Drosophila melanogaster: one gene and its partners. The protein of the gene in region 1 interacts with the protein of each later gene in a pairwise test. Each region holds a gene or a part of one and is shown in the gene's direction. Other genes may lie near its edges.

Region 1 (7,004 bases):
CAAGGGTCTCTTCTGTTTTTATGCTCCGGAATTTTCACACCAAAATAAATCCAAGATCATACCTAGTGTGACCGTGGTGGTAACCGTTAACATATACCGTCCGATTAAAAATTATACCAACAATTTGCAATTTTATATATATCTTCATAAAAAAACTAAAGAAATCAGATATTAGTAGTGCATTTTTGTTCAAGAATATCCATTTAAAAACAAATATGTTTTTATATCAAAATCATATTCAAAATATAATTTTAGCTTTTTCTAGCTAGCATGCCATATTTAGAAACTTTGGCAGCCAACTGCTGGTCACATTCGCGACATCTGGCAACGCCTCCAGCATGTTTTGTTCAGCTCTACGTAACATTTTGAGGAATTCACAAAATGCGGCTAAAAACGCAACAATTACCTCACAAATACGAAATCTGCGAGGACAACAAAGTGTCCACCATGAGGTAGAAGTGTTAACATCACCGGGTATAACCACCAAACAGAATGACAAGAAGACCGAGCCTGCGGAATGTGAAGGCTCCAAAGAAGTGGCTCTGGACTTCCGAAATCGGGAGGCCCATGTGCCTTCCTTCAATTTGGCGGCCTATGTGAACAACTCGAGTACCCTGCAGCAATTTCTCAGCTTGGGAGTGGATCTGCACAGTATTGAACGGCGAAAGGGATTGGGAGACTTTGTACTGAAGCTGGATTTCGAGAAAAATGTGAAGCCCTACATAACGTTCCTGGTGGATCAGGGCGTATCACCCGATGACTTCGGCAGGATGTTCACCAAGAACCCGCTGCTGTTCAAGGAGGACTTGGACGATCTGCAGACCAGAGTGAACTATCTAAAAAGCAAGAGATTCTCGGACGAAGCCAGGCAAAGAATTCTCACCCAGAATCCTTATTGGCTGATGTTCTCCACCAGGCGAGTGGATCGTCGATTGGGTTACTTCCAAAAGGAGTTCAAATTGAGTGGTCATGATCTGCGACTGTTGGCCACCAGAGAACCCAATGCCATTACCTACAATATGGAACACCTCCGCAAGTCTGTGTTCACCCTTAAGGAGGAAATGGGATTCAATGCCAAGGAGCTAAGTGACCTGGTGGTACGAAAGCCGCGCCTCTTGATGATTCGTAAGTCTATCTACATTCAAAATTAAGGACATTTGTAATTAAACAACTTATCCTTGCAGCTCCGGATGATCTTGTCGAGCGATTTAGTTACATTCACCAGGATATGGGCCTTCCACATGCCCAGATTGTCCAGTGCCCGGAGCTTTTGGCCTCACGCGAATTTAGACTGCGGGAACGTCATGAGTTCCTGAAATTGCTTGGAAGAGCGCAATATGATCCGCAAAAAGACCTGTATATATCGCCAAAAACTATAGTGGAAGGCAATAACTTTTATTTCGTCCGAAATGTGGCTAAAAGTGATTTGGAAACATTTGATTTGTTTTTGAAAACGAGATAAGAATAAAATAAAAGTAAATGTATATATACTTTTCATATTCATATATGCATATGCATATATTTTCAAAAGTCAACAGAAACCAAGTTTTATCATTTTAAAAATAACCACCAATAAATTTACTTGATACAAGGGATGCCAGATGTAGGAAAACATAGACACGCACCTGGATTGCTACCGTTTCTCCATCTGGTCACACTGGACAGCAACAAAAGATTTAAACTACGCATTAAGCTTGTGCGTAGAAACGAATCGTGTTTAATTTTAGTTACAAGACAGTCGCTTCGGGAGAAGCATTAAACAAAGTTGCAATATTTCGGAGCTCCAGCGGTTGGCTTCAGTCCGAAACCAGTAGTTATAGTCAAATCGAGTGCAGCGGCGGAGAAACAGCGCCAAACGAAAAGTAAAACGCATTTTCCTACGCATACATAAACAGCAAAAGCGAATACACAAACACAGGCAGACATACGGAAGGGCCAAAAAAAACTTGGTCAAACTCACGAAAGAATAATAGAAATAGTTTAACTTTAAAGCGAGTTAATAATAAGCAATAAACCCAAGTTATCTTTGGTGTTGACGTGTTGAACACACATACCGATAAACAAAAACAAAATGTCTACGACACCAAAATCGAGCGAAGATTTGCTGGGCGGTAAGTTGTTTGTTTTCGTCTGCTTTGCTCTTTCATTCGTGTTTTTTTGCGTCTCCCCTTTTTACAATCATAACAATAACATGGTAACCCGTTATGCCGCATTGTTGTTGTTGCGAGAGTATCTAGACATGTGTATGTATTTATGGAGTTGTTTGCAATTTGTTAGTATCCGCATCCCATATTTTTTCAAGGCTTTGCGTTGTCTGCTTTTTGATTTCTTTCTGCTTTTATTTGTTTACTTTGCACTTGTTCTTGCTCCGCAGAGGGGGCGAGAAAGAAAGAGAGACAACAAAGAATCCGCAAAACTCCGTATGAAAACAAAGACAAAGAAGCTGCCAACGCACTCTTTCTCCCTCCGCTCTTTCATTCATGTCATGTCTTGTTCCTTTACTTTGCACTTAGCACGCTTGACGTCAGTTGTGGTTTACTTTTTGCGCTCCCCATTTCCCCGACCCGGTCTTCTTCTTCCGTCTGGCTTGCTAAAATAATTCGTAAATAAATACATTTTGTGGGAGGGCATTTCCCTATCGGTCGTTTCCAGAAATTGCGCCTTTGGCATATTCGCTTCAATTGTATTTCGGCTGCCCACTTTATCAACATCCACGTTTACACTCGCGGAAAAACTAGGTTATATAAATTTATACTCATCAACGTACTTGAATGTGTTTTTCAAAATCTCTTAATTTTATGAAAATCGTATGATGGACAATATTCAATAAATTTTCTTAGGAATTGCACGAAATGTTGAAATATTTTGTTGACATAAAGTATAATCTTTTTGGTTGACTGCTTGAAAGCACTTTGTTTGTTTGTCGAAAAGGTTGTTGACTACCACAGAAATTATACTACAATTCTGCAAAGTCACTCACAAAAGTAATGCCGGACGAAAAATTTGTTTTTCAATTTACTACCATCCAAGCAGTATTAATCTAATCAGTTTTAGCCCAAATCGAACCATATGTTATGAAATACATCACTTTTGAAAGGTTTGACACAGTTTGGATGTGGAATTCCGTTATCAATGATAGCATATAAATATTATTCATATGTATTTCTATACGTTTGAATGAATCTGATATTAATCTTTTAAAGCTAAGTATGTACATATGTATATGAAATAAGTGTGTAAGTAATGCGCCGGCTTGATCTGTTTCTTGACCTTAAAACACGTGCGAAATGAATGACCAACTTAGAGAAACATTTTTTCTTTGTGCACTGTGCCATATACTACGCAAGAAATCGTATCATGATACCGAGGAGTCATCCATCCAATAATAAAGGCGGTTCAATGGGCCCAACTCAGGGTCTTTTGGACAGCTGCGCATCAAGATGCACACCCGACAAAGCCCGAAGAGGGTAGGGTAGAAAGAGAGAGAGAGAGGGGGAGTGATTGTTAGAGAGAGACGGAGGGTGGTTGGCCGAAAGAGAGGGAGAGAGGCCTACGTGCCGTGAGTCACAAAGCCATTGTTTTTGTTTTTGCCACCCTTCTGTGCACTTTTGCTTTTGTTTTTGTTTCCATTTTCGTACCTGTAACCCGGATTCCCGATAATGCTCCAAATATTGTTTACCTGTGCAAAACTTCTGCGTCTACCTGACATACGGGCATTTCCATTTTCTATTTTCGCAACATTTCCATCATAAATGCATCATCCTTTTCGTCTAGACGATGCATTTAGTATTCAATTGTCAGCATGATTGGTGTGCCACGTGAGTGATCTGAATTATTCTGTAACTGATTCCATCGCGAAAGTGTCTAAATTAGATGATTGTACAGTGATAACTCGAGAGAAAGCAATACCAGGAAGATTTTAAATTTATAATGTGACATTACAAAATTATAGAAAAAATTAATTTTAATTAATTAGAAAGTGAATAATAGATGATATAAGAGGCGTTGGGTGTGATCGTATGTGTGATTATATATATGCGTATACATGTAATCAGTTGGTTGTATTATTAGGTAGTTTTTAGGAACGCTACACTGTACTCCTTATCAAGTAACTTGCACGCTTCTCGTGCCCATATTGCATCGCCAGTTTGTCTTTTTTCTCGATTTGTTTTGAAAATGAAATTTTCTCCGTAGAGCATTGATAAGCATCGGCTTGTATAGACTATAAACAAAACATGTGTGCTGCTTTATATACACAGTATGCCGAAAAGAAACGGAAATTATGCGAGTGGTGGGGTTTTTAGCGTTATCAATGGGGCACGAGCACTCGAACAGATATATACAAGCACATACATTGCAGATCCGGCTAACGAATCGAACGTATGTATGGTTAAAATGTTTTTACGTGTAAACAAAAACGAAGACAAACGCTGAAAGGGTGACGATGGCACATTTTTAGAGCCGCTGCCGCCGCACAGTGGCTCTCAAACTGCACGCCTTTCTGAGTAAACAAGTGAAACTACTTTATTTTGTCAGCAAGTGTAATTTTAGACAAGGGATTACTTTAAACTGACGTTTATCAGCTTAGAAATAAATAAACTGTTTCATAAATAAACAGTTAAATAGGGTTAAACCATTCAAAACTTAAACATCGTAAAATATTGATATGTTCTGTATGAAAATTTCTAAAATTAAATTAAAAATTGTTGTTAACGAACCTAGAACGTTTTCGTTTGTATAAATTCAATAAAGAACGTCATAACGCACGTCTGTGTTTGGACTTCTCATGTTTATTCAACACGCCCCAAAAGGTTTCGACCCTCGAGCCTGTGCTATATTTAACCACCTCCAAATGCAACCAACTAAATATTTAATTTCACCCCATTTGGCTTTAGCTTTCACCCACTTTGTTCGCCAGTCTATCATGCTAATGATCTACTTTCCAGAATCTTGGATCGAACTCAGCACAACAGCTGCGATGGCTGGCATCAAGAGCCCCGACAGAATCACTCCGTTGCCATTCAACAATGGCGAGGAGTACCTGAGACTTCTGCGCGAGGCCCAGCGCGAGTCGAACCAGTCGAGCCGTGTCGTCTCCTTGGCCAGCTCCCGTCGTGATACGCCCCGTGATAGCCCCAAGAGTCCACCGAACAGTCCCCAGTCGGAGCTCTGTCCGGATGATGAGCTCAGAAACGTGTACATCAACTACTGGACCAAGGTAAGAGATGAGAATCGAGGCGGAACCGAGGTGATCTTGCTAACAATGCCAGTCTCTGTTTTTGCTTTTGCCAGGGAGGAGACAAACAGAATGCAGGCAATGAAGATTGGCTGAAGAACTGGAATCAGCCACCCAGGTATGAAAGTTTATTTAGCTAAGTTTCTAGAATCTAGAACTAAGTTTGGAGCATTGCGGCCTTTTACCACAAATGGTCATTCATTGAATTATTATTTACAGTAGCTGGAACATTGAGGATTCAAGTCGGGATGCCGGCGACGAGGGCGAGAAAAAGAAGACTAACACAGGCTACTCCATCCGTTTGAAGCGACTGGGCTCCAACTCGTTGTTCTCCCGCGAAATTCTGTACTCGCTGCTGGTGACCAACGTCCTGTCCCTGCTGCTGGGAGCTGGATTCGGGTAAGGGTCTCTAGCAATCTTCACCAGATTCACATTTCATGTAATGGTATTTATTTATAGGCTATGGTTGAGCAAGCGTGGCATACTCCTTACCCGTGTGGTCATTGACTGAAAGATGCCATAAACAAAAAGGAGAAAGAGGAAATATATATAATCGTTTTCAATCTATCAATATGCACATCAATCGAAAACAGAACACGATGCGTTCCATATAAGAAAACGAAGTATACACATCTATACAGCCAACCGTATTCCAACTCATTTGTATTTTTATCGGAAGTCTATATTTTCGACACCTTCTCATTCAGTACATACCTATAAAAATGTAATTTCTAATTACTAAGCCAGCAAACTAAAACAGGCCTTTGGGCAATGGTTGAAACTAAGCGTTTTCATATTTTATATAATTTTATATATTTAACATTATATCAAGGCAGCAAATCTAATGATACAGAAAAGCATTTATAGATGCTCCATATATTTTGCTTTAGCCGTATGTCTTAGCACCCAACCGTGCATTATATCCAATACAAATGTACGCCGAACTTCGTGTTAAGAATTTCAATTTCATCATCATACATCATATAGAACAACCATAAACATTTGTAGACATATTATAGTTGAATCGTATTGTATCCTGATTGTACTTTTTGTTGAACAATCGTCAAATGTTTCGATACAATAAGCATATAAGAAAAACGATACAAAAGGAGAAAAAAAAACAATATGGCACACATAAGATTATATCTTTAATGTGAGGGAAGGGTTATCCCCCACACAAAAAAAACAGAATAGTTGTAATGATTTTTTATATTAAAATATTTTTCAATATCTATTTAAAAGAGCATCTGCAAACATTTTTCTTTGGTGGGTTTTACGGAATTGCAAGAGATGGCTTAGAAAGTTTTGAGAATTTTATAATCTTGGAAAGACGGATTAGTGAGATGAAAGGGATTTTCAGGGAAGTGCTGCAAGGTATTTTGAGATGCCTTTTGTCTAAAAGGCATTCCCGGTGCTTGTTGTTGAATAAGTCGCCTGTTGTTTTGAAAATCGCTAGACGTGTACCTGTTCGCATTATCAAACTGTTTCACATAAGTGAGGGCTTGGATTACCTTTGTGTATATAAAGGGAAAAACCCGCTATTTGCATTTCGCCATTAATATTTTTTTGAGATTATCAGCAGTGAGTCAGTATAAGCGATAATTTCATCATAATGTGCTAATAGTCAACTAATTTTGTTAGTTGATCATTTAGACTTGTTATCAATTGCCAAGCGAATGCAATATCGATACGAACTAAACTGCCGCCCTTTAAAGTGCATAAACTAACTGTTTTTGAGTTGCTTTAGCAATTGTAATTTTATTTAAAG
Region 2 (3,248 bases), 1.3 Mb from region 1:
GCTTCTGATTTCCAATGAAATAAAAGTGACTATTGTACGAATCACCCTAATATTTTTTCACAACTGGTATTTTTCTCCGTCCCGCAATCGGTAACACCATGCAGGGTGTCTGAGTTTCGAATCGGCATAAATTCGCCGGCAGCTGAGCAAGATGTATCCTGTGAGCTCGCAAAAGAGGTCCTGGACATTCGCCAATGAGGGCCAGCTCATGGAGTTCCGCGTGGAGCAGAACAGCAAGTACATCGAGTCGCACGAGGAGGAGGCGCAGGGTCGCGACCTCAATGAGCACTTTCTCACGTCGGCGGAGGAGCGCCTGTTGCTGAAGCAGTACGAGATCTACCTGTTCGATTTCTGCCGCCGCTTCGAACCGACGATGCCCAAGTGCGTTGTGGGCACGGCCTTCCACTACTTCAAGCGGTTCTATCTGAACAACTCCCCCATGGACTATCACCCCAAGGAGATTCTGTAGGAACGCTCACCTGAGAGCAGCAAACACCCAGCTGAAAAGCAAAACATTCTAAAAATGTATAAACCTTTTCAGAGCCACATGCGTGTTCGTTGCCTGCAAAGTTGAGGAGTTCAACGTGTCCATCAACCAGTTCGTAAACAACATCAAGGGCGACAGGAACAAGGCCACCGACATAGTGTTGTCCAATGAATTACTGCTGATTGGACAGCTCAACTACTACCTCACCATACACAATCCGTTCAGACCCATCGAGGGTTTCCTGATAGATATAAAAGTGCGATATATATTCACATTTGCTCTCCAGATTGTTTCGTTCATATTGGTTTGTTTCAGACTCGCAGCAATATGCAGAATCCAGATCGTCTGCGGCCACATATTGATAGTTTCATTGATTCCACGTACTACTCGGATGCCTGTCTTCTGCATACGCCTTCGCAAATTGCATTGGCTGCCGTCCTCCACGCGGCCAGCAGAGAGCAAGAGAATCTCGATAGCTATGTGACGGATCTTCTGTTTGTCTCCGCCAGGGAGAAGCTACCCGGACTCATAGATGCCGTGCGAAGTAAGTTTGTGCTGTGAGATGGTGCGCCCAGCCCTACATGCCTTTTTCCCGACAGAAATTCGCATAATGGTGAAGCAATATCAGCAGCCCGATCGGGAGAAGGTCAAGGCCATCGAGAAAAAGTTGGACAAGTGCCGAAATCAAGCCAATAATCCTGATAGCGAACTGTAAGACGCCCTAATTTGTTCATGCATTCCGAATTTAATAACCCTTATACTTTAAAAGCTATAAGGAGCGCCTACGCCGATTGTACACCGATGAGGATGACATGCCCGCCGAAGATGCCTCATTCCACATTGCAGATGTGAGCTCGGACACATCTGCTATGAACATCAGCCAATAGACTTAAGAATATTTATTTAAATGATGTGATGATCTACTACTGCGTGGATTTCATCGATATTAAAGCATTTTGTAATTTACCATTTCTTGATTGTTAAAATGTATGCGTTTAGTGTTAGTTTACTAAACAAAGTTGGATTAGGTACTTCACTTTTCCAATATATAAAATATTAAAAAAAAAACCTTTTGAAAATCCGCTTAGCGCTGCTTGGCAATATTTCGTTCGCAGCTAACGGCCACACTGCGCCCCAAGAAAAACAAGAATAGTGAACTCAGTCACAACAAATAGCAAAAAGAGTTCGAAATGCAGGATTTTCTGCCTTCGCTGGATGTTCTCTTTCTTGGACTACCAGGCCACTACTCGGTAGCGCTGGTCACCCTTCTGCTGTGCGTTTTGGTCGCCTTCTACTTCGCCAACATCTTCAAGGACAAAGGCGTGGGTGTTTTTGCCGGAAGAAGTAGACGTCTCCTGGAATATTTCCTTACATTATCTTGCAGGAACTGGAGGACGAGGGCCTGGGGGCCGACGAGCCGCGCGATGAGGAGGATTCCGAGTCACGGACTCCGCAAGGGGAGGAAACCGACGATGACGAGGCCTACGAAGAGAACTCCACCGAAAGCGAAGTTGAGCTAATCGAGGAACAGCTGCCCGAGCACAGCTACAACCACCTGATGGGCCAGCTCAAGGCCAAGAGGCTCCAGCATAAGATGGAGAAGACCCTGACTCCCAGCCAAATCGAGGAGGAGCGCCGAATAGAGCGCGAGCAGCTGGCGGCCATCTTTGAGCTCCTGCGCAAACAGGAGGCGGAATTGAACCTCCAGGACCGAATAAGCGACCAGGATCTCAAGCAGCAGGTGCGGCTCTATCGCTGAAGTGGCGCCGAGCCTGGGCTCACCCTACCTGAATGTACAGACTTGTGTGATCTATTAGTTTAATGTTTAAAATTCCAAGATTTGGTGTTGCCTCATACGGTCCACTAAGTGCGGGCAAGTCTTTAGTCAGAGAGCTATCTCATCAGTCGATGATGTCGGAATATAATATCTTAGTTGTATGTAAATTATATGTATTCCACTTCGATCTATGTATTTTGTGAGTTCCTGGTGTTATTAATATCTGATTTAGATTTGTAGTAAATGGCTGTTCGGCTCTTAGTCTCTTAAATCAGCTTTCGAATTAAGAATATATGTATATATTTTAACGTGTTACAAGATAAAAACTCGCGATCAGAAAGTGTATAGATTTAAACACAATTAATCGCCAAATTCGTTGGTTAGATTTAAATTGTGTTCATATAACTTTGGATTTATTTGTTCAATAAAGAATGTTTAGCTGTGTTAAGATGTAATATATACTCTAAATATTTCCTACCGTTTCCTAGCCAAATATCCGAAAATAACCGCTCATATTTTATATGCCGCGATTGGATTTTTGAAAATAATTGTTCTAACATATAGATTCCATCAGCACACCTTCGATTGGAGCAGTCGAAATGCTTAGCGTTTCTGTTCCAAATTTTTTAGTACTAAAATGTTTTTAAATTCACGTGGAGCAGATATTTTGTTGGAGTTCTAAATACGTTCGGTTTGGTTTGGTTGATGTTTAAACGTGTCGTTGTGGCGCCAATGCCCATGCATGTTTACTATCGCTTATCGATACACCGCGTACACGGCAACCGTGTGTGACCAATTCAAGCACGAAATCGTTGACCAACACTGATTGTACATCAGACGACACGACAACAAAAACAACAGCAACAACACCACCGACGTGCTTGTTCCTGTGTGTGTGTGCGTGTGAGATTGGAAGACAATGGCTGCAGCTGCGGATCTGGTTGTTCCTACCCTTGCCAGTGAGTATAGCCCGGATGCAATCCC
Region 3 (4,850 bases), on another chromosome or scaffold:
GTGGACCAAAATTATATTTTATTATTATATTTTGAATTTCATATTGTTCATTTTCAGCAAGAGGAGTATTCGGGAGCGCCTGTCCAGTGCCTGATTCCCGGAACGAATCAGTGGGCGCTCATTGGGGTCTCCTCCTGGCGGATCGCGTGCGGACCCACGGGCGTGGAGCGGCCCAGGATGTACGACAAGATCGCCTCGAATGCCGCCTGGATCCGCGAGACGATCAGCGCGATATAGTCGGGATAGTTCACCAGGGGGCGGCGGCACGCCCCTCAGCGCATTTGTGTAGAAAACGGAACCGAAACTCACTGGGTATTATGTGTGTGTGTAGCAAAGCAAGTAAGGCAATTAAGCATATGTACTATGTAACTAACCTGCTCTAATGTTACTCGAACCTATGTAACTCTATGCTAACTGTATTCTTTAAACGTCCTTTTTTTTGCTGTTTTGTGTAATATTTATTAACTATGTTGTAATTGTATGTTAAACATGTCGAAAAGGAAGCAAATTTAGTTGTTAGTCTGTACGTTTAGCTGTTTGTAGAAAGATATTGTTGAATAAAATGAAATCGTCCAAAATCAAGATAATGGCTTTACTGGGGGTATACCACAATTAGGTGGACACGTGCATGGATTTCCATTTCCCATCCTTCTGAAGGCGGTACTGCACCCGGTCTGCGATTTGGTCGAGACCCACCTTCAGGAAGTCCCAACGCTGCGGTTGGAATTTCCAAGCGGTACTAGAAGAAGTTGTAATTATGTATATGTTAATTTACTAAATATAGATATACATATAAACTTCGAAACTCACTAGCTTGCTGGTCTCTCGATGGATTTTCCTCTGTGATCCAGAAGGAACTGATCGTGCTTTGCCTTGAGATCATCGTAGTTAATCGGTTCTCCACAGGGACAGATGTGACCCCTGATTTGGGCAGCCAAATTCTCCTTCGCCCACAAAGCATCCATTTCGCTTTGGTCAAGTTCCACGGCGGTGGCTCCAATCAATCTCACCTGCCAGGCATTCTGATTTCCGGCCTTATCCTTAACATCTGGCATATAGAAGGTGATGCAGGCCTTGGGATTGGCCTGAAGGTTCTTGAAGTTGCGAACGTACCGATGGGTGATGTAGAACACACAGTTATCCTGGGTGAGTCCGCGGTACAGAACAGTGCGGTTGAGCACACCGAATTCCTCGTCCACGGTGGCCAGGTTCATTTCCTGTATGAATCCATCGGGATGTCCCTTGGCAGCTTCCTGAAGGATCTCCTTAAAAAATTCAACGGGATCGGAGGGAAAGTCCTCGATTTTGGCCAAAGAGGAGGTCATATTGGTGGGTCCTTGAAGCGAAAAATATTCTTATACATTTTGAAAATGTAATACACATTTAATGTTAATTGGTAAAGCCCCTTATAACTGAAGTAATGTACTGTCATTCAAATTTGGCGCACTTTGCGCGCTGTTAACGCTAACAGCACTGTAACAGAAGCGCAGTACTTTGCAGCGGTTCTATAATCGATAGCCGTTGATTTCACGTTATATTTGCGAAGCTATCGGTTACTATCGATACATAGAAACGAAACAAATTCTCCCAATTTTCGGCTGAAAACGAGGAACACCAACTCGCGATTCTGGGGCGGCAGAACGGGAAATCCCGCCGAGGAGCAGCATGACCTCCATTCTGGACATGAAGGCCGGTCCGCCCGACTACTGGGCGGAGATCAGCAACTTCTTTCTGCCGCTGAAATACCTGATCACCAACGACCGCTTCGATTCGATGGTGCGGGACATAGACCTCTATTACCTGATCAACGGGGTCTTTTGGATATTCGTGGCGTTGTCTTGCGGCTACTACGCCTTCCAGCGGCTCTTCCAGGTGGGTCCAGCACGTGGCAAATCCTTTCAATCGCAGCACCCTCGACGCGGCGCCTCCAATTGCACTTTTCTTTTGAGGGGTTGCTCGGCCAATTTGCCGTTTATAAATAAACAGAGCGGACACGGTGCCGGATTCGCGCATTCCGGGGGTGGACGGGGTGCCAACCGAGTGGGGCGCTAAAAATACTGTTACCAACCCTTTGAAAAGCTTCAAAACACAACGAAATGCGGCACTTTTTGTATTGTTTTGGCTTGCAACTAAGCTGTAAATGATTATTATTTAAATATGTTGTCTCTTGTAAAATCAATATAAGGCGAAGATAGTATTGATTTTACTCCCGACAGTCATTGTTTAAGGGATTCAGATGTACTTCCTTCCCCATTCGGTTGGCACTTCGCTCCTGGCTTTGGTGATAGCATAAGTCCGGTGACAGTCGACCCATCGGCGCTGACCATAAGCCATATAAACCATTATCTGTAGTGACCCAAGACCAATGCTCGACTAATTGCTCCTCTCCCTTTTCAGTTCTTTCTGAAGTCGTCGAGCATGAAGCACTTTCAGCGGAGGCTGTTCGCCCGCGTCATTTGGAACATCGCCTTCTATGCGGCCAGCTGCCTGTTCCTGCACTTCTACAACGAGTTCATGATCCTGCCGCAGCTGATGAAGAACCAAGGACGCTACTCGCTCTTCTACTCCTCGGAGAACCTGATCTTCTATCGATCTCATCAGGCGGAAAAGTTTCAGTTCTACTCGATCTTCATTATCACGTTCTACCTGCATGGGGCGTGGTTGGACTTCAAGGACGCTGACTTCCTGGAGGTGGGCTCCAAGGGACTCTACCTGCTGTCCCTCGTCGCCATCGATGTTTACAGGCAAGTCGAGACACGTTTGGTCCCTACCATTCTAGCCTGGAGCCATTTAAGCTCGAAAATATTAAATACTCTTTATTTTTAGGTACGAAAACTACTTTGTGGGCCTGAATCTAACGGTGGGTCTGTACAGCATACTCACCGAGGTGCTAGCCCTGTTGGTCCTGCCCAGCACCAATTCACACCGGATCATCTACCAGGTTTTCCTCGGTCTGCGCATCATGGTGTGGGCGTATGTGTTTGTCAACCTACTGCCCTTTAAGTACTTCATACCCACGCTGTTCGCCAAGAACTTTAAGCTTTCCCTGAATGTGCCCATTTGGTTGTGGTACGGCCTCTCCATTTGGAACTCGCCGGTGCTGCAATACTTCTACCATCAGATATATCACACAGCGCCGTCGGATTGTTCGGGCGAGGGATCGGCGGCTAAGTGCATCCTGGTCAAGGACACCAGTGAGTTCCGGCACTACAAGACACTGAAGAAGGCCTATTTGGAGGTAAAGCTGGCACACATTAGAACCACGTCCAATTCGCTGCCCTCCGAAACCAGTTCGGCCTCGGCCAAAACCTTTCAGGCCATAAAATGTAAGCTTCCTGCACTAACCGATGTTGAATATCTGATTAACAATCATTTTCCCTGGCAGGCGTCATGATGCTTAAGCGCAAATTGAAGCGAATTCGCGAGGGACGTGGCCATGAGCCGGAGGATGACAACGATGACCAGGCCATTGATACCTAATCGCGTCCTACCGCACGGACGCAGCACACTTTTACACAGTAGAAAACCACATTTCCTTAAACCAAACCAAAAAAGACACAAGTTCAGCTTAGGCTAATAACTCACAAAGTTGAAACTAGCGCTCTCTCTCTCTCTCTCACTCAGGCTGATTTCGGTTTATGCGTGTTAGCTAGAACGCGATCAGCGCGAACAGTGCGTTTTGGCCAACATTCAGATCGTAATCAAAAAATAGGAATATTTAACACTTGAAAATTTGTAAATTTGTCAACGTTTTTGTTGTAAAGACTTTAAAAATATCAGTTGGTAGCTTTTAATCAAAAATTATTTAAATATCTCAACGATTCAAATATACGCGTTAAGAACATAACAACTAAAGGTTGTCAAAATTAAAACATGAATATAAACGATAAATCAAACGTGCAGATAATCTCAAAGGCTATATACGCAAAAATCGAAAAGTGAGGCTTACAAAATTAATCTCCTAGAAGTATTTAAAATAATGTTATATATCTTTAAAACGTCGAATTCGACTGTTGCCAAACGCACTGTTCTAATAGTACTTATTCGATAATAAACCACAGTGCGTTTCGATGCGAGCAATACAACAATTGACGCACTGTTGTCACTAGTTAACAATTATTTATAAAAACTCTAGATCAATATTAAATGTAATATCTACCAATCACGATTTAGACAGCACGCATAAACCAAGCGGCTGAAAGACCTTAGCAAATTTAGTTAGTATCGCTCGATTTTTGGCGCCAACGGAGATCGTCGCTGATGATATATATACATATAGTTACTATATCTCTATACCAACTCTCTCTCTCTCTCTCTCCCTCGCACACACGATCGCAGTTTCTCTCTCGTTTAGATTTGTAAGTCGCCTTCAACTTATTGTTGTTGTTTATTCGCTGTGACTTAATGACATATTGAAATATTGTAATGTGTTGTTTTTTTTTTCGTTCTTTTAATTGAAATATACTATATATGGGCTAAACGAGCGCAATTGAAATGTGTGTGTGTGTTGTTGTTGTTGTTACTGGGTTGGTTGCATTCGTTTGTTTTATTCACTTCTTAGCTCTCCCATCGTGGCTGAAATATTATATTATATTATTAATGTTCTTGCTTTATTTGATATTTGAAAAGAATTCTCTAGTTAAATTTCGGTTTCTCATTTGGTTTTAGGTTTCGCGTTTCTTCCTTCGAAACTTTGTTTTTGATATCCTTGCAATCGTACGTTCTCAACATGAATTCTCATTTGCTCATTTCATAATCGGAATCGATTTTAGAACTGTTTAATTGTACAACATATTTACGTATTAGGTCTGTAAACTAAAAAATTTCTTCAATTTAAAAAAACTCAGTAA

Evidence for each region. The genes of interacting proteins can lie anywhere in the genome.
Region 2: the proteins of BNIP3 (region 1) and CG7407 interact in a two-hybrid assay, tested with the Drosophila melanogaster proteins (one large-scale study listed by BioGRID).
Region 3: the proteins of BNIP3 (region 1) and CG1636 interact in a two-hybrid assay, tested with the Drosophila melanogaster proteins (one large-scale study listed by BioGRID).

Annotation. Positions count from the first base shown.
Region 1 is NT_037436.4:20,514,075-20,521,078, reverse strand, and holds BNIP3 (BNIP3), read left to right. Parts: upstream 1-1,685; 5' UTR 1,686-2,071; coding exon 2,072-2,111; intron 2,112-3,774; exon of another isoform or gene 3,775-3,802; coding exon of another isoform or gene 3,803-3,818; exon of another isoform or gene 3,819-4,380; intron 4,381-4,946; coding exon 4,947-5,218; intron 5,219-5,292; coding exon 5,293-5,354; intron 5,355-5,455; coding exon 5,456-5,635; intron 5,636-5,695; coding exon 5,696-5,747; 3' UTR 5,748-6,480; downstream 6,481-7,004. Other genes in the region: mTerf3 (mitochondrial transcription termination factor 3), read left to right, coding at 339-1,125, 1,185-1,462.
Region 2 is NT_037436.4:21,821,855-21,825,102, forward strand, and holds CG7407 (uncharacterized protein), read left to right. Parts: upstream 1-1,606; 5' UTR 1,607-1,677; coding exon 1,678-1,809; intron 1,810-1,871; coding exon 1,872-2,246; 3' UTR 2,247-2,717; downstream 2,718-3,248. Other genes in the region: CycH (cyclin H), read left to right, coding at 152-465, 542-743, 803-1,031, 1,087-1,198, 1,257-1,374; eIF2A (eukaryotic translation initiation factor 2A), read left to right, coding at 3,184-3,223.
Region 3 is NC_004354.4:8,271,883-8,276,732, forward strand, and holds CG1636 (uncharacterized protein), read left to right. Parts: upstream 1-1,529; 5' UTR 1,530-1,665; coding exon 1,666-1,872; exon of another isoform or gene 1,873-1,924; intron 1,925-2,397; coding exon 2,398-2,744; intron 2,745-2,826; coding exon 2,827-3,326; intron 3,327-3,385; coding exon 3,386-3,480; 3' UTR 3,481-4,319; downstream 4,320-4,850. Other genes in the region: CG1632 (uncharacterized protein), read left to right, coding at 58-237; CG15343 (uncharacterized protein), read right to left, coding at 613-739, 811-1,325.